Xenopus tropicalis: one gene and its partner. The protein of the gene in region 2 purifies or fractionates together with the protein of the main gene of each other region. This does not show direct contact. Links are inferred from orthologs where the notes say so. Each region holds a gene or a part of one and is shown on either strand. Other genes may lie near its edges.

Region 1 (16,318 bases), on a different chromosome or scaffold from region 2:
TTGTAAGTACCGTATATACTCGAGTATAAGCCGAGGTACCTAATTTTACCTAAGAAAACTGGAAAAACTTATTGACTCGAGTATAAGCCTAGGGTGGGAAATGCAGCCGCTACTGCTAAGTTTCAATAATCAAATTATTTAATAAAAGGACACTCACAAGTGCTTAGCCAACTACCATATTAATAAACACAAGGTGTGGGCTGGAAAATGAGGCGCATCCAACATAAGTTAACCACAGCATGCAAATCCGTTGCCGAGCATGCACCAGAATAAGGAGATACATGTGCATACATTTAGGGGTCCCATTCCTACTGCAGTAAAGCACACACAGGGACATGTTTTCTATTGCAGCAGCTAGCAGCCCTCTGCACAGATGCAGTAGAATATTTATTGTTGATTTTTGCAGGTCAGGCCAACATACAAATATTTAAGCAGACATATAATAAGCCCATTGCTTCCCAAAGAAGCAGTGTGTAACTGCATAAACTGTAAAGCCTGTAATGTAACCTGTCCTTAGCCATACTGTTTGAGCATCTTAAAGTCTATAATGCAAACGGAGAGAGATGCCAGTGAATCTTATCTACATACTAAAAAGATTTGATATTTAGACAGAAGTCATTATAGAAGTATTCTATGAAGTGGGATGTATGCAAGAATTGCTTTGTCTTTTGTTAAATGTAATGCCCTTTGATCAGAATTACACAGTACTAACTTGCACTAAGGCACTGCTGGATTACCTGTCGGGCGAATCTGTTGCAGAGCATGGACGCATCGCGCCCCGCCCCCAAGCCAAGTACAGGCACTGCTGGATTACCTGTCGGGCGAATCCGTTGGGCAGCATGGACGCCGCGCGCAAACCCCCCGCGACTGGCGTGCGACGTGTGCGCTCGGGCGACGCGGGGGCGATTCGTCCATGCTCTGCAACAGATTCGCCGACAGGTAATCCAGCAGTGCCTGTACTTGGCTTGGGGGCGGGGCGCGATGCGTCCATGCTCTGCAACAGATTCGCCGACAGGTAATCCATCAGTGCCTGTACTTGGCTGGGGGGGGGGGGGGGGGGGGCGCAATGTGTCCATCATGCTCGGCAACGGAATCGCCCGACAGGTAATCCAGCAGTGCCCCTACTTGGCTGGGAGGGGGGGAGCGCGATGCGTCCATGTTCGGCAATGGATTCGCCGAACAGGACAGGTAATCCATCAGTGCCCCTACTTGACTCGAGTATAAGCCGAGGATTCCTTTTTTAGCACATTTTGAGTGCTGGAAAACTCGGCTTATACTCGAGTATATACGGTAAGTGTTCCTTGATACAGTAAAAAAAAGGCAGTCCTAGTGTAGTCACCTAGTGTGCTGTGGCGCCTAATAGGAGCAAGTAAGGAGGAAAAACGTCAGCCCAGGAAGTGGGCGCTTGGGAACACACATATCTGGTGGAAAGACACACTCAACTTCAGCACCAAGTTACTGCAGGGCACCTGATGTCATTGCGTGTGCCTGTGAGAGTTTCACCAAGAAACGGTGATAATTACACAGAGACAGAGGCTCTACCATTAAGCTAGATCAGCAAAGATAAACCAGTGGGAGCACATGCAGGGTGGCTCTACCATGGTTTTGCAGGAGGAAGGAAGCTCATGAGGTGTCTTCTGAGCAATCAACTGGACCTGATGTAATAATATAGGTCTCTCTGTCATTATGTCCATGCAAAGGAAAGGAGATAAATGAAAAATTAAATGCTAAGTAAAATAAGAGAGAGGTGAAGGCCGGACAAACTGAAAAAAACTGGGGCAAGAGGTGGAGACACAAGTAGGAAAGGGATTGGAGAAAGAATTTTCAGTTTGTCCTGCCTCCAGAGAGGAACAACTTAACCCTACTGCACTGGCATATTTAAAACAAAAATATAGATATATAGCCTTTCTGGATAATTTGCCTAAAGATGGCAATACATACCATGATAAAAGTTGCTGACTGTCCTTCTGGACTAATTCAGCAGCAGTTACTGTTACATTATGCCATCCAGGTCATGGTATATCTAGTATAAATAAATCTAAAGCAACTGGACTTGTTAAGTAATCAAGATTTACTGATATATTATTATAAATAATTCTTAGTTTGGTTGTACCATGTGTTGGATTGAGTTACTTTTTGATTTAATTCTTAATGCAATGCGGCTCTAGTATAGTATCGCCATCTGTTGGTTGCAAGCTGTAACTTGTATTATGTTGAAATTCTAGCATGGTGGCACCCTCTGTTGGTTGAAAGATGTAACTTATTGCATTAATGGAATCTGTTTTCTTAGCATATTGCACCACCTTTTGGTCGTATAGTGTAAGGGTTACAAAAGGGTTCCTATAAATAATGCATCCCATAATGACATCCTCCCCTAATGACAAAACCGGCTTACTCAGCAGAAGACATAAATGATTACTAGCTGCTGGGGATTTTAGACTCTAAGAAGAAATAGTTACCTGACTACAGTCACTATGAGGATCTTGTCACAAGGAGTGAGCAGGTCCAGTAACTGCAGGTGGGCAAGTGGGTAGTAACTATTTGGTGTTTATGAAATAAGTAACTTGATTTATTTTAAACTCAATTTAATAAAAGTACTATGCTAATTACTAACTTTCTTGCTGGTGTTTAAAGGAAATTATGGATAGAGTAAGATTTCATGGTTTGTTAGTGCTGTCCACCTGGTGGCCCGCGACCCCCCTCTGTTTGGCCCCCCACTTGTCTGGCTGGTTTGATGATTTACCTTTGGGTAAGATTTAAATGACTGTGAATAACTGGCCCCCTGCATGGTTCACACCTCAGATTCAGGCTGTAAACCCCCTGTATTGTTTAAATATGTAATCCCCTGTAGTGTTCACACCTTTTAATTCCTACATTGTTTACCCTCTGCATTGTTCATACCTTAGGCTCAGACTGTAAGACCCACATTGTTCACCTATTCACACCTCAGACCTGTAGGAGCAGTAGAAATCTACAAATAATCCCTTCACACTATAAAAAGAACATATACTGAGATGGTACTGCAATTAAAAAGTCTTTTAATATATAGTTATTGTGCAGACTGTAGGAGTAGTGCCAGCATTGTGTCACTGTATGCCCCCTGTGCCATACTCTGCCTGACCTATGCTGTCTGTGTGTGCGCCATGCTCTGCCTGCCCTATGCAGCCTGTGTGCCATACTCTACCTGCCATATGCTGCCCATGTGCCATACTCTGCCTACCCTATGCTGCCTGTGTGCGCGCCATACTCTGCCTGGCCTATGCTGCCTGCGCATGCCATACTCTACCTGCCATATGTTGCCTGTGTGCCATACTCTGCCTGCCCTATGCTGCCTGTGTGTGCCATACTGACAAGAGTAGGACACACACAGGAAGCATAGGGCAGGTAGAGTATGGTACACACAGGCAGGGTAGGGCAGAGAGAGTATGGCACACAGGCAGGCAGAGTATGTCACACACAGGTAGCAGAGGGCAGGCAGAGTATGGTACAGAGGCAGCATAGGGCGGGTAGAGCACGGCACACACAGGCAGGGTAGGACAGGCATGAGTATGGCAGGTTTTTGCTGTACTACTACCTTTAATATGGGTATGGTCATGTGATAACACAAGTGTGGTTTAAAAGGGGGGAGTGGTCAAAACTGGCTTCCATTATCGGCCCTCCACCATGTAGGCCGGAAAAATTCCATCCATTGGTACCAAAGAAGTTGGACAGCACTGCCTTAGCATGTATATAAACAAGCACTTTGCAGCTGTTACCATTATCAGGAATAACCATGGGGGAACAGTTTCCTCTCTTTTTTCCCACAAACACAAAAATTAATGCAGCATTACAATCTGTGCTATGTAATCTTAGTGCACGTGAATGCTGGATGTGCTAAGGCATTTAAATGCCATATAACTATATTTAAGAACACTTTGTAGGCATCATACTAAACACATGCATATTCATTTAGTTCACACACATTTGCTTTAAGATAAGTAATGATGTGACTGAGCTTACCTCTGAAGGTAAAGCAAATGTACAGAACTGTTGGAAGGGCCATGACCCAGAGCTGAGAACCTGTATGCTGAAGTCCACTGCAGAGAGAAAGACATGTTGTAAGATACACTTATGTTTCATGGACTGTAAAGCACAAGAGTGACATACCTGACTCTATCCTAAGACTCTTACTTTTCCTTAAAATGTGTTTTGGCACGTCCAAAGCAACAGCATGTGATAGCCTCTAAAACAGGGCCAGAAGCAACTGGGAAAATGTTAAACTAGTCATAGTATGCAATTAGTCTTCCAACACAATTTTTTTTCTTCTTATTTATCACCAACAGAGTCTAGGAAGGACTGCAAATTTGGTAAATAAAGAGATTTTTGGGTATCAATATGTAAGCATTTTCACTAACAGTTCTTGTTGGGTTGCTCACTAAAATTATTAATGATATCAATGATTTCAAATAGCTACAGTTAAAAAGTACAGAAGTATGTGCACTAGGAAGCGTCTCTAAAATCAGTAAAACAAAGAATGTAATGGAAGTACATTGCATTTGGCACAGTAAGAAACAAATGTGTGCCCCTCTTCTCTCTCTGACACTGAACACAACTGTTAATACAAGTCTGCAGCATAATCCTGTATTGATTGCTATATTATATTATATATATATATATATATATAGGTGGTATGTTGCATTTTGATTCTATTACAATCACTGGTGGTTATAAAATAGTGATAAAACTTAAATGTTTTCCATACAAGTATGCAATATCATTTACTGATGCTTAGTACTTACAGTCTAAAGGCTCAGAATTAGTCAAGTGCTTTTTGAACTGCTCATTAAGGTCTTTGCTCACACCTATATCTTGAAACATTCTCTGAAGCTTTGATGTATACTCAAACCCACAGGCTTGCTGCAGAAAAAAAATGCAGACAAAAAGGGTCATACACTCATTTGGAACACAAGTTAAAAGTATTTTTATAAATATTTGGGGAGGGAACAGAATGTACTTCCTCTTGACTGTATATTCTGCTGCAGTAGCATTATAAATTACAAAGTATGATGTTTATATGAGATGACGACTTCCACAGGCAGCTCAAAAGCTTTATAAAAGGGATTTGTTTGCTTGCATTATGGCATTTTAGATTTAAAGGCAAGCCAATATGGTTAGATCATGTTAAAGGTATCCTACCTATCACCCCCAATTATTTTTTTCTCAAAAAAATAAGTAAAAAGCAACTTCCTAATATACATTAATTAAGACATAGTGGTTTAGTTATTCATTACTGTAACTGCTATTTAATAGTAGTTGTCCTTGTCTATTGCTGACTCTTGACACAATGTAGTGTAGCAATGCCAATGATTATCAGACCTGGAGAACAGACTTCCCATACTCTGTTTAAGGGCTCTGGCACACGGGGGAGATTAGTCGCCCGCGAACAGGGAGTTTTATCGCGGGCGACTAATCTCCCCCGTGTGCCAGAGCCCTTAAGAGTCAGAACCAGAGAGCAGAAAATAATGAACAAATACTGCTTTAAATTAAAATGACAATCATAACTAACTTTTAACCCACTGAAATGTTTAAATAATGTATATTGGAAAGTTGTAGATCCCTTTAAGTCACTCCAGATAAATGAACAAAATAATTTCCTACAAGAATGTGAAAGAACTGCAATATATTGCAAACTCTACCTGATTATAACCTTCAATAACACAGCTACTTCAACAACATGGCGCTTGCCAACCCACTGGATATGTCTCGAACAACCTCACAGCAAATGCTCATCATTACAGTGCACATTTATCTGGTGCCAATCATAGGCTGCTACATGCTGGACCCCATGGGACCTGTTCTGCCATCCAAAGCATTGATTTGAAAAGCAATAATTGTGTGGCTACCTAATATTTTTACCCCTGAATAAGACTCCCCAAGACATCTGGAAAAGACATTTGAAACATAAAAGAGATTGCACGTGTGCACGTGATTTGATGTGATGATGTTTGTGTCTCAATGCAAATTTTTTTCCATGATTCTGCATTAGTTAGAACAGATCCTGCACAAAATTCTGCTACAAATTATGACAAGGAAAATGGATGATTTCACAAAGCAATCATAACAAGAGGAATGAAAAGCACCCACCACCTTTTAAAGGGTATACCTCATGCTCTGTGTTCCCTTTGTACAACTTAACAAGCTCTCACTATAACTAATGTGAGAGCTTACATGTGGGGAAATCTTACCTTAAGTTTTGATATCATACTTGCTTCAGCATCATCACTGGCACTGTTTTGATGAACCAATCGCTTTGCAAGCATTTTTGCATAGAACTTCTGAAACACATCCTTGTCTTCTATGTATTTAAAGACCACCATCTAAAATAACAATTTCAAAATAGATATGCATTTAGGATACACGTTAATTAAATGTTAATATATTTTTCATAATTTTTTTTTTGTTTATCTATATCTATATATTATAACCGACAGCACAGCATATCTATGTAGAATTACTCATTACATTTAAATTTTCTTCTTAAAAATCAAGGTGTCTTGTATCTTAACTAACTTACTTTGCCTGGCCACACTATTCCCAAACTTAGGTGTCAATAGCTAACAAAGGACCAAAACAGCCTTTACCAACAGCCTTATATACCCCCTGCTTCCTGTTCAGTCAAACAATGCAGGCATCTATAAGGTTGGAAATTGGTTTGGAATAAATCAGCAAGTAAAATAGTGCATTAAAATTGTGTCTTGCTCTTTTGACTTCCGTTCTGGAGAGGAAGACGAGTGATTCAATAAAGTCCATGACAGCTACATTTTCTGCTTACCACTTGGTTAAGGGTATCCTCCAACTCTGCTTCTTCTGGATTCTTGGAACTTAAAATCAAAAGAAGTGTTTATTAGATAACATTGCACAAAAAAATAAAGTACCTTCAATTGCGGTAGTGGGAGAAGATTTGTCCTTGGAAAAGTAATTAGGGCTATAATTAATTTACACTGGATCCTAACTTACTCTTCTGTAGGCTAAATTAAAGTGAAGCTGTCTATAAAAACGGAGGAACCAGACTGGTGAGAGCAACAGAAACATCTTATTACATTTCTGGATTTTAAGTGATGCTTATGGGCACTTGGATTAGCCACACATAGCAGATAAAATTTAGGTGACTGCTGGATGGCTGATAATATTGGCCCTAGGCTAAATAGCTTTTAGTGCACTTGATTAAAACTTTTACATAGCTGTTCCGTAGCCTCTATTGAAGTCATGCAATTGAATGTGTAGGTCGGAACTACACGTGGATTTATGCTGAAATGCTGTGAACCCTAAGAGATTATTGCTTTGTCTCAGAACTTGGCTTAATTAACAAACAAATATGTGAAGCAAGGTGGTGCCTTGTTTTCATTGCTGAAGTTTAATTGTACAACACGATGTGTTTCAATAGGAACACCAAAATTTTACTTGAAACTACAAAAGAGTTGTTTTACTACTTAAAAATATTGTTTATTTTAATCCATTAAATCACTGACAACCCCATATGGATAGTCTAATGCATTTCATGCTTATCCAGCACTTAATTATAGGTAATTATAACAAGCAGTATAAAATCTCAGCTGTTGTGAAGGGTTAAAACATAAACCAAGCATGTATAAATATAGCAGCTCTCAACATTCTTTTACTATAACCTCACTTAAAAATGTGCATAACCTCACCTACTTTAAATGTGGAACAAAGTCCTGTTAAACCTCATCAGACGGAAAGCCAAACAATATAGTATAGCTTTAACTTTAGAGATGTCTAGCACTACGTGTTTCTGACCTCATGGGTACTTCTACTGGTGCTATTTGAAAGGACTCATGGGATCCGAAACACGTAACACAATGCATCTCACACTGAGATAAAACTACACTATACAGTTTGGCTCTTCAGTGGATCCTTGTTGTTTATATGGTAGAAGTGGCAAACCTACAACACTGTTTGAAAAGCAGAACATCTAATACTGGCAGGGCATCAGTGAGATTAACTAATGGATATTCCAACCAATTAAGAGAGTACATAAAACTCCTACTAACAAGCAAGCTAATTCTGCTTACCTCTTCTTCAAGAGAGAGTCACAATACCGGGCAAGCAACTCTGGTGACTTGCTAGAAGACTGAGCCATTTTTGTCACAGCATTGTTATTTATAAACCGACCACAAGCCTACGATTTACCATAAAAAGTAGAGTATTAAAAGAAAATGCCCTGAAATTGTTACAACGAAGGTTTTGGATAGAAAAGTACTTACCTTATCTAGTGCAGCCACAAATCCAGCATCATTGTTGAATGCTGACATGACTAAGGCATTGTATTTCTTGTGAACATCCAAAACAGTCTGTACATACATTTTAGGATCCTGAAGAAAGGTATGAAGTCATAAGGTATGGTCAAGAATTTATTCCTAATGTACTCTTTTAAGGAATTTCTTATTAAATTAACAGTATTATTTGATATTACAACTTAATGCAAAGGAGCCTAGACCAAAGAACAATTCATTAAAAAAATTCTGACACAGCATAATACTAAAAAAAATACTAACTAGAAAAATATTTTATTGGAATCATATACTGCACAAAGCATGCATTTTCTGATATATCTATTTATTCCTCAAAACCATGTAAGTGTTTTGTTTACTGACTACAACAACGCTGTTTGTAAAGAATGCAATAGAACAGGCAAATTCAAAAATGAAAATACATAATTAATAACCTACATTTTGTGCAGCTTCTCCACATTTTTCTATGGCAGCAAGTCCCTGATTGTGAATATGAGTTTCTAAAAGCTTTTTCAGCTCTCCCAGACCATCCTGGATTCGGGAAACAAGATTGTACATACGGCCCAGGTCTGTAAGACAAAAGTACACAAGGCTTCACCGGCTAGCTACTAATATAAAAGTACTAGAAGTGTTATTTGCATTTGTTTGTCTAGTAAAACAACTTGTTATTTATAGCAAGGCAATAAAGATGACATTTAGGCAAACTGGAAATATCCTGCCTAAAGGTGGCCATACATGCAGATATTGCACAAAACTAAGTTTCGGATGATAACTGGTGCGTGCACGGTGGGAGACAAGGCGACTGATATCGGTAATAACTTTGTATATTGGTTGTCTCGTTGATCGGACAGTACTGAAATTTTTGATGGTGCTTTTGAAGTTGCCCGAACATTGTAATGTTAATAATGAATCATCAGATAGGGATAAAGAATTATTTTGTTTTTAAGTTTAAGTTTTTTTTTGTTTTTTTAGTAAAGTGGACAAACGATCTTTCCTATGACCAATATCATAGGATCGCAATTGTATCGTGTATGGCCACCTTAATTTTGCTCTAACAGTGTAAGAAGGTTAACATTGGTATACAGGCTGGCAATCTATTTTGATAAACCAATAGGAATTCAAGAAATTCATAGAAGCTACTGGCCCAATAGCCAACAACTGTGCATGTACACAACTCCCAGCATTACACAGAAATTAGCTATTGTTTGTAATAGCTCGCGGCCCATGTAGAAATGTATTCATTTTGGAGCATAGTGGCCCGTGTTAGATAATTACCTTCATTTTTATCAGCATCTAGTAAATTCTGAAATTCAGTGTGGAAAATCTCTAGATGTTTTTCAATTAGGACTTGTTCACATTTCCGTGCTAGTTCATCCTGTGTGCTCTCATGTAAGTATACTTGTACTCTGCGCTGCTCCTCCAAAAGCCGAGCTTCTGCCTAAAAAAGACAAAAGCAATAATAAGCCTTAGGCACACACAGAACAATGTTATTACACAGCAGGGTGCATAAACTCTTCTAATATGCAGACTTTTCTTTTCTTAGACAGAATAGGTATTCTATTCACTAAGCATTACTTCTGTGAATATGTATCACTTTGCACAATTAGAAGGTGCCACTAACTGTCACTTCAGTTTGTATTTCATACAAACTGATGTGGTGTGTTGCGGTGTGTGGAGCATTATCAGTTTTACCTCCCCCCCCCCTAAAAATTAACATTATTACACCAACTATTATATAAAGGGAAATGCAGAGAGAAAGAATAATCTTGAAAATGCGAATGAAGCAATCATTGCTCACCATATATGAAAGAATTACAATTCTAAAAATGTTTGCACCATTCGCTGTGCTTCTCCTATACAGTCACTGAAGAGACAGAGCTATCAAGCCCTATAATGTGTGTGTAACAGAAGCATTGGCAAATGGCTGCCTAACATCTAGCATTAGTAACAATACTTGCTTCTTTGGAACCAGGTTACCTCACCCTGGTAACAGTATAGCAGATTTTCAAAAGAAAGCAGACCTACCTTTTTCATATATTCTGTGACAGGGTTCTGCTGTAAAAACTCTGTGCTCTCTCTTGTATAAAACCGTTCTGTGTCTGCCAAAAACTGAGACTCAAAGGACTCTTTATAAACAGTCAGTGTTGGGCCTTTGGCAAATGCATCATCTTCATTCAAGCCAAGCTCAACTTGAAAGAAAAACATATTTTTACTGCTTTGTGATTTTTTTTCAATTTATTTTTTTACATTGGCTGGCATGGTGCCTTTTATTACGAGAACCCATCTATTTTACGTGAACCAAAGTGGACTAAGCATTAACCTTTTCTAGCACAGACACATTAACAGTTGTATTTACATAACCAGCTATATTTAGGTCTAGTGCCACCCTAGGCATTGGACCTAATTCACACACCCCCAAACCTTGGGGCATCCGTAGGCCATCCCCTGCTGCGAATGGGGCTCTCGGGCGCCTATAAATATGGCTCTGCACACAACATTAAACAGATTTAACGAAGAAATTTCCTCCCAAAAAAATCACTAATCAAGTGTTATTAATTTAGGCTCATTTAACTGAAAATCAAATAGTGATTTAATTGTTGTTTTGATTTTTTGCACAAGTCCTGTTATGTATAAAGCTTTCTATTTTTATTATTAATTTTATTTGCACCCAGGCAGACACTTTATTATATTTGAGTGCTCCTCTCAGTGTTATTTATATATATATATATATATATATATATATATATAATATATAATGCAAGGATGATGGCAATCAAATCAAACAGTCAGAACACAGATCATCAGAAGAAAAACCTCACAGCACTTGCCTAACATCTAATACTGTATCCATATCTCTGTGTAATTCTGAGTGTGATGTTGTAAAGATTAGTTATGCATTAGCAGATGCAGGGATACATATTAAAATTAACTTACCATAAGATTGCACCACTCCACTTATAAGCCTGGTGTTTATTGTTTCACCATTTCGTTCCTTTTCAATCAGTTTCAGCACAGCATTTGTTACCTTTTGAAACAGACCAAATAGTGTCACAAATTTACTTCACAATTACCAACTTTTTGTTATATGTATGTATGTGGAGGTGTGATTTAAAAAAATATGAGCGGAATGGAAGAAAACAAAAAAAACATCCCGTCTACCAACTTGGAAATGCAGCATCAACAATTACAGATCACTACTGAAGATGAGAATGGGCACCTCAGGTATGCTGTGAGCATGAAGCACTGTCAATGCTCAACACTAGGGCTAGCACAGTGAGGGCCAACAGGAGGGACATCTGCAGTATACATTGTCAGATGATTACTGAACACAGCATAACTTACAACTTGCTGTGGTAAATGGTAAGAGAAACAGTAAAAAATTTATATTAAAGCCAGTTGTATTTGGAGAGGGGAAGCACAGGGAAAAATTGTTTTGATTTTCAACCATGCCATAATTTAAGGTTCAGTTTACACAGTGCCTCTTTGATGAACTGCATAATAGCACAGCTACAAGAATAACGATCATGTAAATGTCACAAATAACAATAAGTTTGACTGTATAACAAGGTATTGATATTTACCTGCTTATTCAAAGGCTTAAACAGACAATCCCTCCATGTCACTAAGGCCAGCTAGGAGAAAGGAACACAAACAAAGACCTATTAACGATGTAATCACCCACTGTTAAGAAAAATAGTCAGTTATAGGTTCTCTTATCAAGCAATCTGTTGAAATGGGTTTACTAATGTAAGCAAATGTTATCCAACTTACAGAATATATTTCATATATTCCTTTGCGGCCTTCATCACACTCACGGCGAACCCAGTGCCGGTTGAGGTATGCGCAGATTCCATTCAGCACTTTACTTGAAAACCTGTAATCTTCCCATTGCTGTGTGTAAAACTTCAGTACGCTCTCATCCATCAAATCTTCTCCATCCTGGGGAGTACATATTAATATACCATATTCCCAAACAATTTTAGTTGCCTTCTATGCAGTAATAATTACAAATAAAAATATAAAAGTCATCTTGCAAGCAGCTTTAGCAACAAGTTTGGATGCATTAAACCTGTCTAGTATGGAAGATATTAAAGACCTGTGAACCAAAACAATGTATTTTGATAGCATTCTGTACTCCTAATATCACAAAATATGCTTGGAATACAAATGGCAGCAGATATCCTGCTGCAGGAAAATTAAGCTCATGACAACTGGTAGGCTGCAGCTGGTAGTAGGTTACCTACACTGCTCTGCAGCATGATTTAAACCTGTGCTCCCCTATAGTAGTAGTGCCAATGAGTTATGCAGGTAGTTTTTTTGGTTTGTTTTTTTTACACAGTATTAATGATATACTGTGGCCCTACAATAAAAATAAATCAGATACGATAAAATGAAGAATGCACAATTATGTCTGTATACAGCATATGAAACATAAATCCATTTATTTTATGAAGTATTAGAAACATGTTGTTCATATTGCATTCCCTCAGAGATTCAATTTAACAAAAACTTACCTTTAGGAGATTTGTCAAGTAATTCTTTAAGAACTCCTTTAGTCTTTTGTAGAGCTCCAAACCAACAAACTGGGCACCTCCAGGAGTCTGTCCTTTCTTAGATTTTGATGGCGGCACTCCAGCCCCCCGTGCTTGGTTAGATTGGTGTACACTGGTGCAGTAGTTATAAACATGTCTGAAAGAGTATATTAAGGAACACACAGAAGGTGCAACCCTGACAACTACAAACATTTCATAAATCCAAAAAGGCTGGTGCCAAATCAGGCAGATTCTTGGCCTGCGCATAAATGCAGGCCAAAAAACTGCTCCATTGCTCCTTAATGTGGCCATCGGTCGCACGAAAGATCGTCAAATCCGCCACTAACCTTCAGGGCTGAAACAGCAGATAAGGAGGTAGAAACAATAGGATTTCTACCTCCTTCTGCCGGTTCAGCCCTGAAGGCAGATTTTGATCAGGCGCCTTCTATGGCGCCCGATCAAAATCTTTTAACCTGGCCGATCGGCGCGTCGACCGATATCAGCAGCCTCCTGCGATATCAGTCGTCTCGCCGACTTGCCATACCCATGCCGAATATCGTACAAAACGGGGTTTCGTACGATATTATCGGTGCGTGTATGGCCAGCTTTACAGCTTTCTGATGTGCCTGCACCTAGAGCCACTGCATCGGCCTGGGTGCAGACACACAGAGCAGATTTCAGCAAGGAAATGCTATAGTACGAGTTATTTTGCCAAAATCTGCTCTGTGAGCCTGCCCCAGGCTTATGCAGTGGCTCTAGGTGCAGGCACATCAAAAAGCAGTTACCGGCAATTTGCAAAAACATGGGCCCTTAATGGAGCCCTAATGCAGGGTTTCTAGGCGTTAGATTGATGTGGGTAGATTTATCTGCTCTTTCTATGGCTATTTATATATTGCAATGCAAGTAAAAACATAAAAATAACAAATTTTTTTTAATAGGTTATGACAGAGTCCTTAAATTAAATAGTCCTGCATTTCTCTCTCTCCACTCCCTTTTAACCCAGTTAACATGGCAGGCAAGTATTAAGACTTCTGGTGAATAAGTGAGTTAACATACTTTTGCGCTACAAAATTCAGGGAATTTAAGATGTGTAAAACACATCCAGCTATGCAAAATTTACATTTCAATTATGAGACAATACAATGTGTTCCCACCATGCCCCAAGGAAATTCTCCTACATAACATTTTAAAGGAAACCACAATTTTGATCTATTCAAAAGAGAAAAATCCCAACAAGTTAAAAAGATGAAGAGTTCCTTTTAGGTCAGAATATGGTGTCAAAAAGAAATGTCAGAAATGTCTCCCAATCTTTACACAACAGGAAAGCTATTTACAAGAAAAAAGAGCCCCAGCAGACAACTTCCAGTATAAATGACAATATGCAGGGGACACTTTCCAAATCTGCTCACATCTTACTTAAAACTTATTCTGTAGTGCAAATCCAGTATCATCATTCAAACTGGGATATTTATGTCTGCACAGCTGCTCAGGGTAGAAATATTTAACATCTACTATGAATAATACATGGATGGCAGCCAGATTAAAAGATTTACAGCTTGTTTTTAAGTACATTGCCTGTGCACTGCTTTAGGGATTCTTAAATGAAATACTTTGTCCAATACCACCCAACACCCCCTCACAAGATTGTTAAATACCAAAGGCTAACAATTAGAGCTTGATAAATTCAAGCAATGAGAAAGCATATCACCTAAACCTTTGCCCATGGTTCTTACCAGATAAAAATAAACAACAAAAACAAAGTACCTGCTCATAAACAATCACCTTACATATTATGTCTTCCAAAAACTGCATTTCTGAGTCCTTACTGCTTCCTATCCCTAATACGGGACCTTGAAAATGTATTTAGAGCTTTGTCCATTCCTAAACTGAAATGTATTTTTCTAAGGCATTTTAGTACAGGTATAGGATCCTGTATTTGGAAACCCGTTATCCAGAAAGTTCCACATTACGGAAAGACCATCTCTCATAGATTCCATTATAAGCAAATAATTCAAATTTTTAAAAATGATTTCCTTTTTCTCCTTCCTTATTGGATGCAAAACAATCCTATGGGGTTTATTCAATATTTAAATGATTTTTAGCAGACTTATGGTATGGAGATCCAAATTATGGAAAGATCCCTTATCCGGAAAACTCCAGGTCCCTAGTATTCTGGATAACAGGTCCCATACGTGTACGTGTACAAATAAAGAGATGTACACAGGAGTGATGCACGTGTGGGGCTGGCATCAGTGTGCCGGATATGGAATGGGAGGTATATTTTGTAAATGCTTCTTTTCAAAGATGTCTCTAAACACAATCTTTGGATGGAATTTGAGCAGACTATAATACTGTTTATTTTCCACGTCTTTGTTTTAAGAAACTTAAATTTACTACATATTAAATGTCACCGGATACCTAAGTTTGATACCATCCAATGTTTTCATCTAAATCAGAGATTGCCTAATGTGAGGCTAGCCCTTTTGGAAAGGGGGGTGGGGTAGGGACTAGAGCAGTCACAAAAAAATAATGAATTTAAAATTGCCCAGGGCTCTAAGCACTCTTGTAATTTACATTTAATGTATTGTTTTTTTTATTTTGTTTCTAAGCTATTATGCTGTTTATAAATTGCAAATATAATGAATTTGTAACAACCTCGCTGGTCAGTTCTTATGACTGTATAATTGAAGAGAATATGTTACAGGAAAGAAAACACAGAACTGTTCTGATGTTGCTACCCACAAGGAGGACATGGTTTCTGATCTCTTTCCTGAGCAGAGCAACATCAGAACTGACCAGCAGGTGGAACTGTTACAAAATTCTTAATACAGGTATAGGATCCAATATCCAGGAAGTCCATCTCCCATAGAATCATTTGCTTCGAGTTGAGTCTATTTTTTGTATATTATTTTTCTCTGTAATAATAAAACAAGACCTTGATCCCAACTTAGATATAATTATTCCTTATTGGAGGCAAAACAAGCCTACTGGATTTGATTCAATTATTTTTCAGTAAACTTAAGGTATGGAGCGCCAAATGTCAAAAAGACCCCTTATCCAGAAAACCCCAGGCCCTGAGAATTTTGGATAACAGGTCCTATACCTGTATTAGAAGTTAATAAGCAGTGTAACAAACAAACAAAAAACATTCTTAGAGCAGCCTGAGCAATTTTGCATTCAATTCTTTAAGGGTTTTTATATTCCTTAAAGGAATTGTTCAGTGTACAATTGAAACTGGGTAAAAGGACTGCCCAAATGTTTTCATGTTTTCAATGTAGTTAGTTAGCCAAAAATGTAATCTACAAAGGCTAGAGCGGGCAGATGTCCAACATAATAGCCAGAACATTACTTTCACCTTTACAGCTCTCTAAGCTGTTAGTAGTCAATAACCAATCAGTGACCGCCCCTAAAGTCACTGACTTTAGCTTAAAGCAGGAAGAAGTGTTCTGGCTATTATGTTAGACATCGACCCACTTCAGCCTTTTTAGATTACAT
Region 2 (16,318 bases):
CGAAGTGCAGCATGAAAGCATTTTACACTCCTGTTATGCAAGATTACTGGTTGTAGTCTACTAATACCAGGGTTTCCTGCTTCTTGGAAACCTGGTTGGATAAGCTAAAGCAGATTTTCTCGGACCTGCTTTATAAGAACAAATCATAATGACATATCAAATTATTTTTACTGAATCAAAGGAGGTTAAAGTTCAGTGTGTTAAGAGAAAAGAATGTCTGACTTTAAGGGCATACATTTCACCGTCTAGTCTGTACCTCACCCTTTCTGCATTAGAAATTCTGCAAACTACCTGCGCATCAAAAAGATCTTCCTGACTACGTACTTTTTGAAGAAATAGATAGGAGAGCATCACACAGCGGTTGGAAAAATGTTAGCGAAGTGTTGATAAATGTGCTCTTTAACCTCTGCCTTTAAATGCTGTGCATTTCATGCCATCTGAACCATAAGTGGACCTTATCTTTCTGCCTGAAAATTCTCAGTCCTAACTTAATGACATTTTTTTAGAACATGCGGGAAGCTAAATCACTGTGCTTATATGTTTTTTCTGTGCAGAAAAAAAGCTATCACTTCATTTCTATCTCTTTTAAATGTGGTGAGAGCAAGCATCTCAAAGATTTCCTGGAACCTTTAACAGTTTCCTTTTCAGTCCTGAACATTATTTTCCATATTCACTGAATTCTATAAGATTCTTAGGGAGGCCTTCTAGTGTGAGGAAATACTACTGGACCTCTAACAATGTGGGAGCCTGAAAAGCAATACCCAGTACTAGCATGAAGTCACAGGGGCCAAATACCCTTCTTGATCTAGGCCAAAAGGACCAGACAGGTAGCTAAACAGCCTAACAAAACTCAAACGACAAAGGTCAAAAAAGAGGATTCTGAATACACTACATGCAGATTCCATTCATTAGAAGGTTTGGTATATTACTCCTTCAGTTTGACTATAAGCATGCACCTCCCTGTGTATAGTCACAAGAGACCAGTGGTATGAATAAACAATGCATATGTCTGTTTGAAACCATTAAATAAATAAACTATGTAACTTCTTTGTGAAATGTGTATTCCTTAATTCTTTCTAATGATTTTTTTATGCAGTGTAACAAGCTTACTTGTTACTCTAAGACTGGAAATGAATATTGCTGCACAACAGTGTAAAATCATACACATAGCCCTTGCTTATATGAGTTATATTTTAGATCTGTGTTGTCCAAATTCTTTGGGGAAAACACAATGTAGTCTTATTGAAAATAAATGCCCTTATGTACATATATAAGACCACATTCCGTTTTTTAGGCCACACCTTGTATATTTTTTATTTCATTCCTTCTTGTTTCTGCTGTTCTCCCTTACTTCTCTACCTAACTTTTACACAGTCCTAGTATTTTCTTCAAATCCCTTTCATATTCCACACCCTTCTTCTCCATACCTGTTCCCATAACACTCTTAACTTGACACTTTTCTCTTACTTTTCTGTTTCACCCTCTTTCTTACCTACCATAAAAGGTATGACAACAGTTTAATTATTTTGTGACTTGACAAATCTATAAAAATCTACTTACAGACCAACCAAGGATATCACAATTACTAGATTGTGCATAGAAAACCTATAAAGCCAATGGGTAACTACATGCTAATTATTGCTCTTGCACAAATTAAAGTTAAAAATTAACTTTATTACATATCCATGAAAAACTAAATTGATCCTGTAGTTAGCCTCAGGCTGATGCCACACGTGGCTTTCTACGCTGTGTATTTTCTAATTCAGCGGCTGAAAAACGCCTGATATCATCATCCATAGAAATAACTTGAAAAGACTCTTAGCACGGATTTTTCAAGCGTTGGCTGAAATACGCCAGTATTTGCAAAGCAAGCTATTCCTATGTATACACAAAGGCAGCTGCCAGACCTAGCTGAAATACGCGGCGTTTTTTTACTATTTTGCACTATTAGCACCATGGAAAAGGGATTTGCTATGTCACCAGTACTAGGCTGAAAAACGCCATAGTCAGGGGCTGTGTGGCTTGTGCGGCGTTTTTAGGCTGAGAGAAAACGCAGTGTAAAAACGCCACATGTGGCATCAGCCTTACCCAGCAATGAATTATAGACTCCAAAGAAAACAAAATACAAATATCAGTATATATAGGCTCCAAAATCCATCACTGATTACATCATAAATCCTTTAGGTTTATGTTACCAAAACAGTTATATAATCAATGTATATTTTAGGATCATAATATAATCAATGCATGTTCCAGGGTCAATATTAAGCTGCCTTTTACATAGCTTATTTCATAAGTAAGCATTAAAACGTGTCAGGCTAACGGTACATGGTCAGTATAGTTTTTAATAGATATGTAATGAAGTGACTTTTTAACTTTAATTTGACAGATCTCTGGGTGTTTCCATTGTTTCTTCATATGAGTGTGTTTATATCTTAGCCATTCCACCAAGGCACTACCTGCCAGCAAAAAAATGCTAAGCATAGTGTGCTACGTCTGGCTGAACAGCTCTAATTTACAAAAAGACCCTGCCCACTGATAACCACTTATTGTAATGTGCACAGAAAACTTGCAGATGCCGTAGCTAGAGATTGCTGGGGAACCAAGTAAGTGGGCAGGCAGAAAACAAAACTGTTGAAATCAAGATCTAAATACAATCAAGAGGAGTAAAATAGGATTAATTAGCTCACAAGCGTAGGTTTGCTAAAACAAGCATCTCAACCGCATAGAAAAACACCCATGTGTGAAAGGGCCCTATTAACACAACTTTTATTAATTTCTTAATTTGAACATTTTAAAACAATACACAGAATACATTTAGAATCTTCTACTAAGTATGTAGTGTTCTTAATCCAAATAGTTTGGAACAAGGCAAGATAAAAACCTGTGTGTCAATTTTACTTCTTAAAGGTATACGGTCATGATTTTTATTTTAAATTACACTATTTATATAGTAAATAATTCACTCTACCATTTAAAATTTTATTCTTGACCCAACTAATGTTTTTTATAGCTATAATATTGGTGTGTAGGCGCTATCTCATTGCCTTGTGCCTGAGTCTGAGCTTTCAGAAGGAGCAACTCTGCACATTAGAACTGCTTTCAGGTAACCTATTGTTTCTCCTACTCCCATGTAACTGGAGGAGTCCCAAGCCTGACTTGGATTTCTTACTATTGGGTGCTATTCTGATATCTACCGAGAGCTGCTTTCTTGCTACCTTCTCATTGTTCTGCTGATCGAGGGGGTGATATCACTCCAACTTGCAGCGCAGCAGTAAAGTGTGGCTGATGTTTATCAGAGCACAGGTCACATGGCGGTGGCACCCTGGCAAATGAAGAATATGGCTAGCCCTATGTGACATTTGAAAATTAACTATAAAAAAAATCTGTGTTTTTGAAAAACAGATTTCAATACAAGATTCTGCTGGAAAAGCTCTAATAACCGATGTGTTTTTAAAAAAAAAAACATGTTTTTCCACGATAGTGTTCCTTTAAAATTTAATAACTTTGTTTGTTATACTTTGACATATATTCAGCTTCTTTTTAATAAAACTATTTTTTGGGTATCCCTGCCTACAGAATAAAATACTTCAATTGTTGTGTCTGCATGTATTTATATATTTATACACACACTGTATACAAACATTCCAAATATCTCCTTTCCCTGTCTACCAGCCCACAAACCCTCTGTCTGATTTGGCAGCTAGCACTGGTGCAGGGAGGTGGGCCTATGGGTTCAAAATAATAAATAATGCTGCTGCTCCAGCCTTTTGAGTCTTTGACCCAAACCATACAACACTGCTACAGTAGCTATAGGTGAAGAGGTCTCTGTCACGTTAGAGGGGGGCTGGGGGTGAGGTAGTATTGCTGTAATGATGCCCTCTCTTTATTTTACCAATTCGTTACACTGTGGCTTAATAGCAGGGTGATAGCCTCAGGTCTATTCTACCAAGTAAACAAGTTTTATTGACGACAAATTGCTTCATCTCACCTAAATGTATGCAGTGCTGCTCTAATGAATTTAACTGGACCTTTGAGACTTTTTGCAAGCCAATGATTTATGACTTAGTGATGAGCAACCAAAAACAGTGACGTTACCCTCTATAGTTATACAAAACCCTCTTAACAGAGCTTTCAAATTTCAGCTCAATTTTCCGCAGAGTAGATTAGTGATGTGCGCCTCAAAATCTTAACCCGCACCCAAAACTAACCTGAAAAATGTTGCCATTGTAGGACCCACACCCAACCCGTATTCGTGTCTTTTCACTCTGTACACTACTTGTGCAAGCCCCTTAGGTTTCAAGCCAGGGAAACTTTGGAAGCAGAGGAAGAGTGTACTTCCCCAGTCTGACCCACACCAAACCCAAACTCACAATGGTGGACTAGCCAGGGAAGTCCACTGGCAAAGGGTTCCTAAACTGAAAAAATAGAAAAATAGAGATGGAACAAAAAAATAAAGGGATCGACAGAATAAAGGCACAAGGAAGAAAGAGAAGGAGGTTTAAATCAGTAGGACAAAGGAGAAGGCTGGGCTGGGTTAAATAAATTCTGGAAAAACTTTAGCCTGCCCTTCCTAGCTTTAGCTTTCTCTTTATAAATAACATTGCGATGAAAAATAATTCTATTACAATAAATTAGGAAAGAGGGCAACAGAAGCCATTAATAGTACTGTATGGTTTTGGTTGTCAGGGCCCAAATAACCTAATAAAAATCTTATTTTTACAGGAAAATGTGTAAATATACAGATGCACAGATGTATAGCTCCCATTGATTTCAAAGAAGCCAAGCTTCAGCCCAATTACTGCGCAGCCGCCGTGGCGTCATTACTGAGCGCCTGCGCACGTCAAATACGTCAAACATGTAAACAAGGCAAAATGGCAGCTTCCTTAACGATAGCCGGATCAAGCAGCACTGAAGACTTTTCAGCAGATGATACACTGTCCCCACCTGGCATAGCTCAGCTTCCCTGTGAGATCGTGGAACACATACTGTGCAGCGGCAGCCTCGGCCATGAGGATATCGTTAGTATGAGCTGTACGTGCCGGCGGCTAAGGGATGCGTGTGCTGGGCGGGGGAAAGTCTGGAGGCGACAGCTGTTTGACAGGTGAATAACAGGCCACCAAATTCCACGACAGACCCTTTATGCATTCTGTTTGCACATTTCACTTACTGCTCACGATGATTTCCATATCTTGTGACCTGAATGCCATTTCCTTTGCTCTTTCTATTCTGTATATGAAGACTGATAGGCTGCTAATCTTTATTGCGCTTTAACACAGTCCTCCTTGTACTTACAAAGTTACTCTGTATGGCAGTGTGAGACCCTGTATGTGAGGAACCATTTGTGCTAGGTTATGTGACAATTATTTAATGGAATGGAGGGGTTGATACCAAATATGCTACACTGAACCATTGGAGTTGCCCATGGCAACCACTCCCTGTTGGACTGGCCCACAGGATACCAGGAAAAGTTCCGGTGGGCCCAGGTGTCAGTGGGCCCTCATGCTCACCCAACCGTTTGCCTCGTATGCCTCTACCATGGCCATTACTCAATTCTATATGTGGCACCCCAGAGTCCGATACTACACCCACTCTTCTAACATGTAGTCTGCTTAAGTGTAACTGCACATTGAACAGGTGTGTATGATAATGTACATAACCCATATGTAGGGTTGCCACCTGGTCAGTAAAAATTATGCTGGATTTCAATGTTATTTATAGGGAAAAAAGGTAAGTATATAGGAAGGCCAGTGTTTTTTTCACAAAAGGTGCTGCTTGGCCAGTAATGGTGATACCTGACATCAATGTTACAAACAGGGAAGAAAGGTAACAGATATGAAAGTAGGTGTGATAGAACAGCAAGGTGGGTCAGGATTATTGTTAATATCCAGCTCTTACATAATTAATTTGGGTTGACCACTATTGCATATATATATATATATATATATATATATAATATATTATAGTTCATAGGAGAGGCACTCACAATAAAGGATACATACAGTATATATATATATATATATATCACGATAAAGGATATATATATATATATATATACAGTGGTGTGAAAAACTATTTGCCCCCTTCCTGATTTCTTATTCTTTTGCATGTTTGTCACACAAAATGTTTCTGATCATCAAACACATTTAACTATTAGTCAAAGATAACACAAGTAAACACAAAATGCAGTTTTTAAATGAGGGTTTTTATTATTTAGGGAGAAAAAAATCCAAACCTACATGGCCCTGTGTGAAAAAGTAATTGCCCCCTGAACCTAATAACTGGTTGGGCCACCCTTAGCAGCAATAACTGCAATCAAGCGTTTGCAATAACTTGCAACGAGACTTTTACAGCGCTCTGGAGGAATTTTGGCCCACTCATCTTTGCAGAATTGTTGTAATTCAGCTTTATTTGAGGGTTTTCTAGCATGAACCGCCTTTTTAAGGTCATGCCACAACATCTCAATAGGATTCAGGTCAGGACTTTGACTAGGCCACTCCAAAGTCTTCATTTTGTTTTTCTTCAGCCATTCAGAGGTGGATTTGCTGGTGTGTTTTGGGTCATTGTCCTGCTGCAGCACCCAAGATCGCTTCAGCTTGAGTTGACGAACAGATGGCCGGACATTCTCCTTCAGGATTTTTTGGTAGACAGTAGAATTCATGGTTCCATCTATCACAGCAAGCCTTCCAGGTCCTGAAGCAGCAAAACAACCCCAGACCATCACACTACCACCACCATATTTTACTGTTGGTATGATGTTCTTTTTCTGAAATGCTGTGTTACTTTTACGCCAGATGTAACGGGACACGCACCTTCCAAAAAGTGCAACTTTTGTCTCGTCGGTCCACAAGGTATTTTCCCAAAAGTCTTGGCAATCATTGAGATGTTTTTTAGCAAAATTGAGACGAGCCTTAATGTTCTTTTTGCTTAAAAGTGGTTTGCGCCTTGGAAATCTGCCATGCAGGCCGTTTTTGCCCAGTCTCTTTCTTATGGTGGAGTCTTGAACACTGACCTTAATTGAGGCAAGTGAGGCCTGCAGTTCTTTAGATGTTGTCCTGGGTTCTTTTGTGGCCTCTTGGATGAGTTGTCTCTGCGCTCTTGGGGTAATTTTGGCCGGCCGGCCACTCCTGGGAAGGTTCACCACTGTTCCATGTTTTTGCCATTTGTGGATAATGGCTCTCACTGTGGTTCGCTGGAGTCCCAAAGCTTTAGAAATGGCTTTATAACCTTTACCAGACTGATAGATCTCAATTACTTTTGTTCTCATTTGTTCCTGAATTTCTTTGGATCTTGGCATGATGTCTAGCTTTTGAGGTGCTTTTAGTCTACTTCTCTGTGTCAGGTAGCTCCTATTTAAGTGATTTCTTGTTTGAAACAGGTGTGGCAGTAATCAGGCCTGGGGGTGACTACAGAAATTGATATTGAAATTGAAAATTGAAATTGATAAACCACAGTTAAGTTATTTTTTAACTAGGGGGGCAATCACTTTTTCACACAGGGCCATGTAGATTTGGAGTTTTCTTTCTCCCTTAATAACGTAAACCTTCATTTAAAAACTGCATTTTGTGTTCAATTATGTTATCTTTGACTAAAAGTTAACGCTTTTTGATGAGCAGAAACATTTAAGTGTGACAAACATGCAAAAGAATAAGAAATCAGGAAGGGGGCAAATAGTTTTTCACACCACTGTATATATATATATTCCTTATTACCCTCTCTAACAGCTTTCCTTCAACTTCAACCTTTTCCTTCAAACTAACAGGCCTATAGTAGGCTAAAGCTGGCCATTTATGCACCAATATAATCACAGGAAAGTCTGTTTTGTATGATTAGTCAAATGGACAGGTTCGAACATTTTGGTCAGATAACGATAAAATTTGCACATGTACTGTATATGTGACGATATCCTTGGGGGACCCACAATGCATTTCTGGGATGTCATTTTCATACGATTGTTGTCTGTCAATTATTTTATGTTCAGAACATTCTCTGATTTGTTTTTTCAGTACTTAATCCTACAATTTCGATCTGAATTTTAGGGTTAGGGTTTAATTAGGGTTTATTAAAGGAGACCTGTCATCTTAAAAATTCTAATCCTTTTTTCTCATGTTAGTTAAGCAAAATAAACTTAACTTACATAACATAAATCATATTAATTTTGTATCCCTCAGTCTTGCAAATATACAATCACAGCAAACAGGTAGCTACCATTTTGTAAACCCTGTTATTAAGACAAGCTTTGCAACATCCGACAATCTTGCTTATGCTCCACAGTCTGGCACCTGATTCCTTTGACCAAATGCAATGGCATCTAGGAAGTGCTAAATGGAAAGTACCTGCCTGTTCCCAGATTTTGGGTTTCATGTTTAATTTGTAAAGGACTTTTTATACAGGTTTATATGTGGGTGACAGGTCCCCTTTAATATATAGTGCCCATGGGTTGTGCTGTATGGTGCTTTTTTCCTCCTGCCAATGACAATGGATGGATAATTTAACCCTTCATAATGCATGATTATTTTAAATGCCTTTCAGTAAGTACCAAGATGTCTAAGGACTGTGACTGCAGAGAAATGATTGTTTCCTTTGTGTAGATGGCCATCTTTAAAGAAGTATTACAGTCCCTTGGATTCTTTGGACTGGAAGGAAGAGTACAAAACTCGACATAATGCGGGGATAGCAACACACGCAACTGTGGCATCCTTCACTAAGCAGCTTGTTGTAGAGCATGTAAGTCATGTTTTAGGCATTTTTGCATAACATTTGGCATTTTCATATGTAATCTTTTCCATTTATCTTTCTCCTATTACATTTTATTATTTTGTTTTTTAATTGTGTTCCCCTTGCTTAAATGACAAGGAATGGCTAAGTATAATAAGGAGTTCAGGGAAAGGCATACCTCATGAGTGTAGTGAGTGTAGTAATTTCACTGAAGCCCCTGTTTAAAAGATCTTTAGCTTAGCTTACTTCCCAAAAGCTGGAAGAATAGAACGAGTGCTACCCAGAAGTCACGAGACGCGTGCGCAATAGCTATTATTGACTATGACGATTTTCATTCATCCAGGTTATGGTATATCTAGTATAAATAAATCTAAAATCAATGATTACTTAACAAGTCCAGTTGCTTTATTTATACTAGATAATAGCTATTATTCCGGTTCAGCACATGCACACATTGTTAGTATCGTGAGCGCACTTTTGTCCCCTTCAACCAGCTCTATCTCTGGAACAAGCACAGGAAAGTTTGCACATGAGCAGATGAAAGTGAAGGATGCACATGGTGATGCGATCCTGGTAAAGATGAACCTTCTAATAGAGCGAATATATACACAGAGTGATTATTCCCTTTACAGACAGTTTTTCTGACCACATCCTATTTTTTGCAATTCAGTTAGCCCATTTACTGTGTCATAATCTCTTAACAAGACGCCAAAAAAGAGTGTACAGTATACCAGCCAGAGGAGTACTCTGATGCCTTGGGGCTGTGGCCATAGAGGTAAATATCTATAGAAAAGACAAATACTGCACATTTTCATAGCCAGGAACTGCCAAAACAGTATGCCAATATCCCTCTGAGTGAGGCATAATTTGCATTTTCAGGTATAATGACCATGTAAGTTTTGGGTTATATTATGTGTTGGTATATATTATTAGGAATGCATACATTAAACTAGGAGCAGTTGGTATTCATGTATTTCATGCTTTAGATGTTTGTCTCTCTATCACAGCGCATTCCATGTGAAAGTTATAATGATCTGGATAGTCTTGGATATCCTGCACATTTTGTTGAGGATGAGTTATTAGCCATCGTGAATAGTGAAAACAGGTACAGTAAAACTTGTTTTTTTGCTTCTAGTTTTGAATTCAAAGCAAAATATGTACAGCAGGGGGTTGCTTACAATGCAATATCCCAGTACATTAATTTATTTAGGACTGGGCTGGAGATTTAGAATTCAGTCCTTGCTCTGAGACCCAAAGACAATGAGGTGTATGTAGAAAAACAATAATTTCACAGCCCAAAGTATTTAAAAATGCAAAATAATATTCTCCCAGGAACCGAGGTATAGGCATGCACAGTGTATGGCATCTGAAGCCTGCAAAATCTTGTGGCCTGCAAATGAAATAATGCAAATGCTAAATTCCTTTCAGAGAGCTTAGTTACTGGCATTGCTAGAGGTCCATTTGCCAAAGAAAGAATAGAAAAATATGATGTATCCCTGCATAGGATAATTACTGTCCTGTGCCTCTACTTACCTCAGAAAACTTAGTTTGAGTCTTTTAATGTTTTACTGACAGAAAATGTTTGTCGCTGAAATACTGCGCAAAGAAGCTCCTGTATTTTATGCGCCAGGAAGCAACAATGTGCAGACTGAAAGACTTCCTTCAGCAACCTGTAGAGCATCAGGACATTTTAGAAGGTAATAATGTCTCTTGCTGATGCAAGCCTCTTTTAGTACTAAAGCATTCTTACAGGGGAGTTCTGTAGTCATATTCTTTGTCCTATGATTTAAACAAAATGGTGACAGCTGTCAGAGCTGTCCACAGATTTCACAATTGTCTGCTTATTGACTTTTGCCTTAATATGGGTGTACTGGGCCCCTCAGCTTCTGTAGACTTCCTTGGTGAGCAGTGTCCTCTAAGCACTGTTTACATTTTTGTTTTTAATTGAGGCAATTAACAGAAATCATTTTCACCATTAGATTCATTTATTGGGTTTGTGTTAAATTTAGGGCTATAACGTCCTTTGATTTCCTGTGGTATTGCAGCAACTTAGTACATGTATGTGCTAATATACTTGGTATGTATTTTGGGTTGTTTCTGTTGTTGGTTTTTTTATGTTTTTTTTTTTTTGCAGTATTATAGAACAGTGCTTGTCCTTGTGTGAGTATTTATTTGTATGTTTGGCTTTTGATTCTCTGTCACAGGTGCTGTCCTGATTGACCAATACTGTAACCCACTGGAAGATGTGTGTCTTGAGAAAATTCAGGCACAGATAGAAAGTATACTAATCAAAGTTAAAGCTACTTTAAGTGCAAGAAATACCAGACATCCCAGCTTGTCTTTGCAGGCAGGTATGCACAGACTGTCTTTATTTCATACTAATATTGCTGTCTGTTTTCTGACTCTAGAGGAATCTCTGCAGAATCTATTGTGCAGCAAGGTTATGAGACATCTGAAAAGTTATTTTGCAGTGTGGGGGATATTGGGGAACAGTATAAGTGGCAACAATAAATGTGCAGAATTGTCTGCATTCTATTAGTAATGTATCAATATTTAGTAATATATTTTTGTTATACAATTTAAGACTTTCATACAGTAATCCAAAACATTTTCTGTTGTAGTCTCTCTAACCAGAAGGTGGCACTGTTTGGCTTTCCTCTCAATATCAAGCTCCGATACTGTTGGCTTGAATTTAGTAAACTGCATTTGCACAGAAAAATGTTTTTTTTTTTTTTTACTTTTTATTTCTACTTTATACAGACAGTAAATAGGTAGAAATAATTGACATTGAAATGAGGCTTAAAATGTGTTCCATTATTTTCAATAATGATATTTACTACTACTATTTTCTTTCACTAATAACATTTACTATCCTGCTATTTGTGAAAAAGACTTATTAGGCTTCCACTATACTATAACTATAGCTATATATATAGTAAAAAGGGAAAGTTATGCTCACCACTAAATTTTAAACCATTAGCTGGGGGTGCAATAAGGTTATGGCCACAAAATTCATACAGACAAAGACAAAAGATCCTCTACACTCACCCATAATCAATATATCAATATAATAAGGACATTAAGTGCAGGGAGTGCAAACCATGCTTTGTTTAAAGTGGAGGGTATTTTTTAGTAGCTTAATGTACAAAATGTTTTAGTTTCCTAAATATATTGATTATGGGTAAGTGCAGAGGGCCTCTTGCCTTTCCACGATAACAAAAACTTTTGACACTACTACTTTTGGCAGTTCCACTTTGGCCTACTTTAGGCAAATACATTATAGATCCTGAGATCACCTGAATTTTGTCTAAGAATTTAATATCATTAAATTACTGTGCAGGTGGAATGTGTTATATTGAAGATGTGGATTTGCAGCAACAGGCTCTGGATTCTCTCAACCATGTCCTCTTTGTTGAACAAATGTTCAAGGGCAATGTGGCGGATTTCTATAATCCACTGAATTCCTACATCCACCAGGTATTTGGAAAATGGTTTAACATCTTTGACCGTGTAAGCAAATGCAGACCAGCATGCATGGAAAGCAAATGCAGGTATTTCAGCTTTCAGATATAAATATATATCATATAAACCTCTCTAAATAATACAGAGGAGCTTTAAAAGAAAATAAGGAGTTCATTAGTTTTAAGGTTTCACAGACATATGTAGTACTGGTGTCTTGCCACAATATGCAACATATTCTAACATATTTGTCAGTTCTAGCAGTAGGGCTTATGGAGCATTCATTATACAAAAATAGATTATGGAAAAAGAGGGTTCTCCTAAGTACAATGTAAAAGGGATAAGGGGAACATGAGATAGGTGGATATAGCTTTTGGCTGAGGTTTATGTATTCTCACAATTAGAGGAGAAGATAGCAAGCTAGGATAAGTAAAACTTGGTTTCCATAAATAGTACTTTTTAAGGAATTACTTTTAAATGTTAATATATGTAATATAACTGCAGTAACATTAAAGGTGTGCAAATAAAATAAAGAGTGGCAGCTTCCAGTATTATTAAGTATTTGCCCCAAATGTCTCCCAAATTGTTATTCAGGCTTAGCACCTTGTCCATTGCTTTGTGGCCCCTTAGGGGGAGGCAGTTTGGGGACAATATTTCAATGTCAACAGAGATTGTAATAAATTAAATTAAAGCTGTACGAGCTTAGTTTAACAACACAAACACTGTCACTCATGCACTTTTTCTACGGGTCAATGGCAAACCAGTTGAAGGGAAACAATGCCCTCCCCTGTTTTTGAGATAAACTCAGTTGAGCTTATATAGAAAAGGTGCATAAACACTATCCGAACTTTCAAAAATAAATGTAAATCTAATTTTTACATAGACATACCCTATTCCACAGATTAATATGAAACCATGATGGTCTGTCTCTGTGCTATTTGGGACCAGTTTCCCACCCTCTTAGGCTCACAGTGTAAAGCAACCCCTCCCTCATCTTGTTCTCTTGTGAAGTGATGGATTTTAGGATTCATATTCTCTCTGCTTTCTATAGTGTGTGGTGAATTGGGGGTGGCTGCCACCATGTTGGGCTGTCCTTTCCTATATTCCCCTTTTTGCCAAACAGATATGATATTTCCAGGTTTGGTGAGAATGGCTTTGGAGGGAACATATACTGTATAAATAGCTGTCTTTAAAATAAATAGCTTTCCTTATGTACTTTATGTTCTCAGGTATTGTAATAGCTAAGAACATAATATATTATCTAGTGCAGATAAGATGTTGTGCCCCTTATTGTATAAATAATATGTTACTCAAATTCATCATTTTCTCTTGACTCATTGAACTCAGCATAATTTTTTTTTTTGTATGGCAGTTCTGCCTGATTTTAGTCAGTAATGTACCTTTGGATTAAGTGACTATCTTTGTCTTTGCTCTTTAGGGCTCTGGTACACAGGGAGATTAGTTGTCCACGACAAATCTCCCTTGTTGCGGGCGACTAATCTCCCCGATATGACTTCACACCTGCGAAAATGCGAAATCGCCGGCGGGATGGCATACGTGGTGGCGCAATTTACATTTTCGCCAGTGGGATGTAATATCAGGGAGATTAGTCGCCCGCAACAAGGGAAATTTGTCACGGGCAACTAATCTCCCCATCTACCAGAGCCCTTAGGCTTGTTGTGGCTTCCTGGGGAATAATGTTACTCTTTGTATTTATGTTGTTTTTATAATGATCCTCAGCCTGTTATTTCCCAGGTGTTGCATGTGACCTTATTTTTTGTTTCTTTGCTAAGGTTCTTATCACCAAGACTGGTATACCAATCAGCCTCTCCGTATTGTATTTAACCCTTGCTAGTCACCTGGGGGTGGAGCTTGAGCCTGTCAATTTCCCCCATCATTTCATGCTCAGATGGTGCCAAGGTCCTCCTGGGTAAGAAAACCTTTAGCATCATTTTATTACACATTTTGTAAATAAATATTAATGTATCTGCACACTCAGACTTAATGACAGTTTTCTTTTATCAAACCCAGTTATTGGTTACAATATTATAGCCTGACTTTAATATTGTCATTAATAAGTTATTACTTAATTATCAGTAATTATATATATTTTATTTATACTTATACAAACAATATAGTTATTCACATTTTTTTTATAATGGTTATGTTGCAAATAGGGTTCAGCATTTCCCAAATAAAATGAGCAAGCTACAGAATGACCTAAAGGCAAATCAGTCATGTATTTCAAAACTTAATAGTGGGGGTCAGATGCCTCTGTAAAATATAGTAAAAATGTTCTCTTGGGCCTAATAGTGATAATAGCCACATTAGCTGATGCTGTTAAACACTGTATATACAACTGAGCTCCCCATGGACAAGTGCTTCTGTTAGAACAGATGGAAATATATCATGGTCTAACTTAAGTTTATTGGTGGTTAGGGCCTAATAATTACTATAACAAGTAAGTCCTTATTGTAATTGTATTAGAGCAGTGATCCCCAACCTGGGGTTCAGGGGCAACATGTTGCTCACCAACCCCTTGGATGTTACTCTCAGTGCCCCAAAACCAGGTAGTTATTTTTAAATTCCTGCCTTGGGGGCAAGATTTGGTTGAATAAAAACAAGATTTACTACCAAATAAAGCCTCCTGTAAGCTGATAGTGTGCATAGAGGCTGCCTAATAGCCAATCTTAGCCCTTATTTGGCACCTCCATCAACTTTTATAATGCTTGTGTTGCTCTCCAAAGGGTTGATTCACTAACGTGCGATAAGCTTTATCATATGCTTTTTTTGCGTTAAAATTGACGCAAAAAAACACGCGGTTCGCTAAAGTATTATGACGTGCATTAAGTCGCATATCGCATGCGCTAAATAACACATGATCGCAAGGCGTTATTTTCAGGGCTGTGGAGTCGGTAGATAAATTCTCCAACTCCGACTCCTCAGTTTCTGATACTTCCGACTCCGACTCCACGACTCCGACTCCTCTGTTTTTAATATGCCAATGTATTTTATACATCCAGGAAGGGAAAGGGGCACTTAAAACACAACTGAACTGATAATAAACTGATAGACAGTTTTATCTATACTCCTACTCCTAATGATTTCCCTAGAATCCCATAGTCATGTTTAAAGTTTAAGCTAACATTACAGCTGAATTACAGCAGTTTTTCAAATGTTTTAAAGCTTCAGTCTTAAAGGAACAGTAACACCAAAAAATAAAAGAGCTTTAAAGTAATGAAAATATAATGCACTGTTGCCCTGCACAGGTAAAACTGGTGTGTTTGCTACAGTAAAACTATAATGTATATAATAAGCTGCTGTGTAGCCACGGGGGCAGCCATTCAAGCTGGAAAAAAGGCACAGGTTACTTAGCAGATAACAGATAAGTTCTGTAGAATACAGTAGTGTTTTATCTGTTATCTGCTATGTGCCTGTGCCTTTTCTCCTTTGAATGGCTGCCCCCATGGCTACACAGCAGCTTACTTATATACATTATATATTATATTATTATATATTATATATACTTATATAAACTATAGTAGGGTTTCTGTAGCAAACACCCCAGCTGTACCAGTGCAGGAATGGCTGCCTCCGAGGCTACACAGTGGGGTATTTATATAAACTATAGTAGGGTTTCTGCAGCAAACACCCCAGCTGTACCAGTGCAGGAACGACTGCCCCCGGGGCTACACAGCGGGGTATTTATAGGTGCAGGAACGGCTGCCCCTGGGGCTACACAGCGGGGTATTTATATAAACTATAGTAGGGTTTCTGTAGCAAACACCCCAGCTGTACCAGTGCAGGAACGGCTGCCCCTGGGGCTACACAGCAGGGTATTTATATAAACTATAGTAGGGTTTCTGTAGCAAACACCCCAGCTGTACCAGTGCAGGAATGGCTGCCCCCATGGCTACACAGCGGGGTATTTATATAAACTATAGTAGGGTTTCTGTAGCAAACACCCCAGCTGTACCAGTGCAGGAATGGCTGCCCCCATGGCTACACAGCGGGGTATTTATATAAACTATAGTAGGGTTTCTGTAGCAAACACCCCAGCTGTACCAGTGCAGGAACGACTGCCCCCGGGGCTACACAGCGGGGTATTTATAGGTGCAGGAACGGCTGCCCCTGGGGCTAC

What was found.
Region 1: the proteins of fbxo21 (region 2) and cul1 purify together in Homo sapiens (affinity purification with mass spectrometry; 6 studies listed by BioGRID and IntAct, with this or other methods). This does not show direct contact. The link is inferred for Xenopus tropicalis from reciprocal best matches to the Homo sapiens genes FBXO21 and CUL1.

The regions. Positions count from the first base shown.
Region 1 is NC_030682.2:55,186,552-55,202,869, forward strand, and holds part of cul1 (cullin-1), read right to left. Parts: intron 12,981-16,318; coding exon 12,806-12,980; intron 12,231-12,805; coding exon 12,063-12,230; intron 11,924-12,062; coding exon 11,873-11,923; intron 11,317-11,872; coding exon 11,226-11,316; intron 10,481-11,225; coding exon 10,317-10,480; intron 9,730-10,316; coding exon 9,567-9,729; intron 8,861-9,566; coding exon 8,730-8,860; intron 8,373-8,729; coding exon 8,265-8,372; intron 8,180-8,264; coding exon 8,073-8,179; intron 6,861-8,072; coding exon 6,812-6,860; intron 6,357-6,811; coding exon 6,225-6,356; intron 4,897-6,224; coding exon 4,779-4,896; intron 4,077-4,778; coding exon 4,000-4,076; intron 1-3,999. UniProt on the Homo sapiens protein: Core component of multiple cullin-RING-based SCF (SKP1-CUL1-F-box protein) E3 ubiquitin-protein ligase complexes, which mediate the ubiquitination of proteins involved in cell cycle progression, signal transduction and transcription.
Region 2 is NC_030677.2:164,845,825-164,862,142, reverse strand, and holds the start of fbxo21 (F-box only protein 21), read left to right. Parts: upstream 1-4,850; 5' UTR 4,851-4,874; coding exon 4,875-5,104; intron 5,105-8,591; coding exon 8,592-8,727; intron 8,728-9,725; coding exon 9,726-9,823; intron 9,824-10,293; coding exon 10,294-10,415; intron 10,416-10,922; coding exon 10,923-11,069; intron 11,070-12,058; coding exon 12,059-12,195; intron 12,196-13,970; coding exon 13,971-14,107; intron 14,108-16,318. UniProt on the Homo sapiens protein: Substrate-recognition component of the SCF (SKP1-CUL1-F-box protein)-type E3 ubiquitin ligase complex.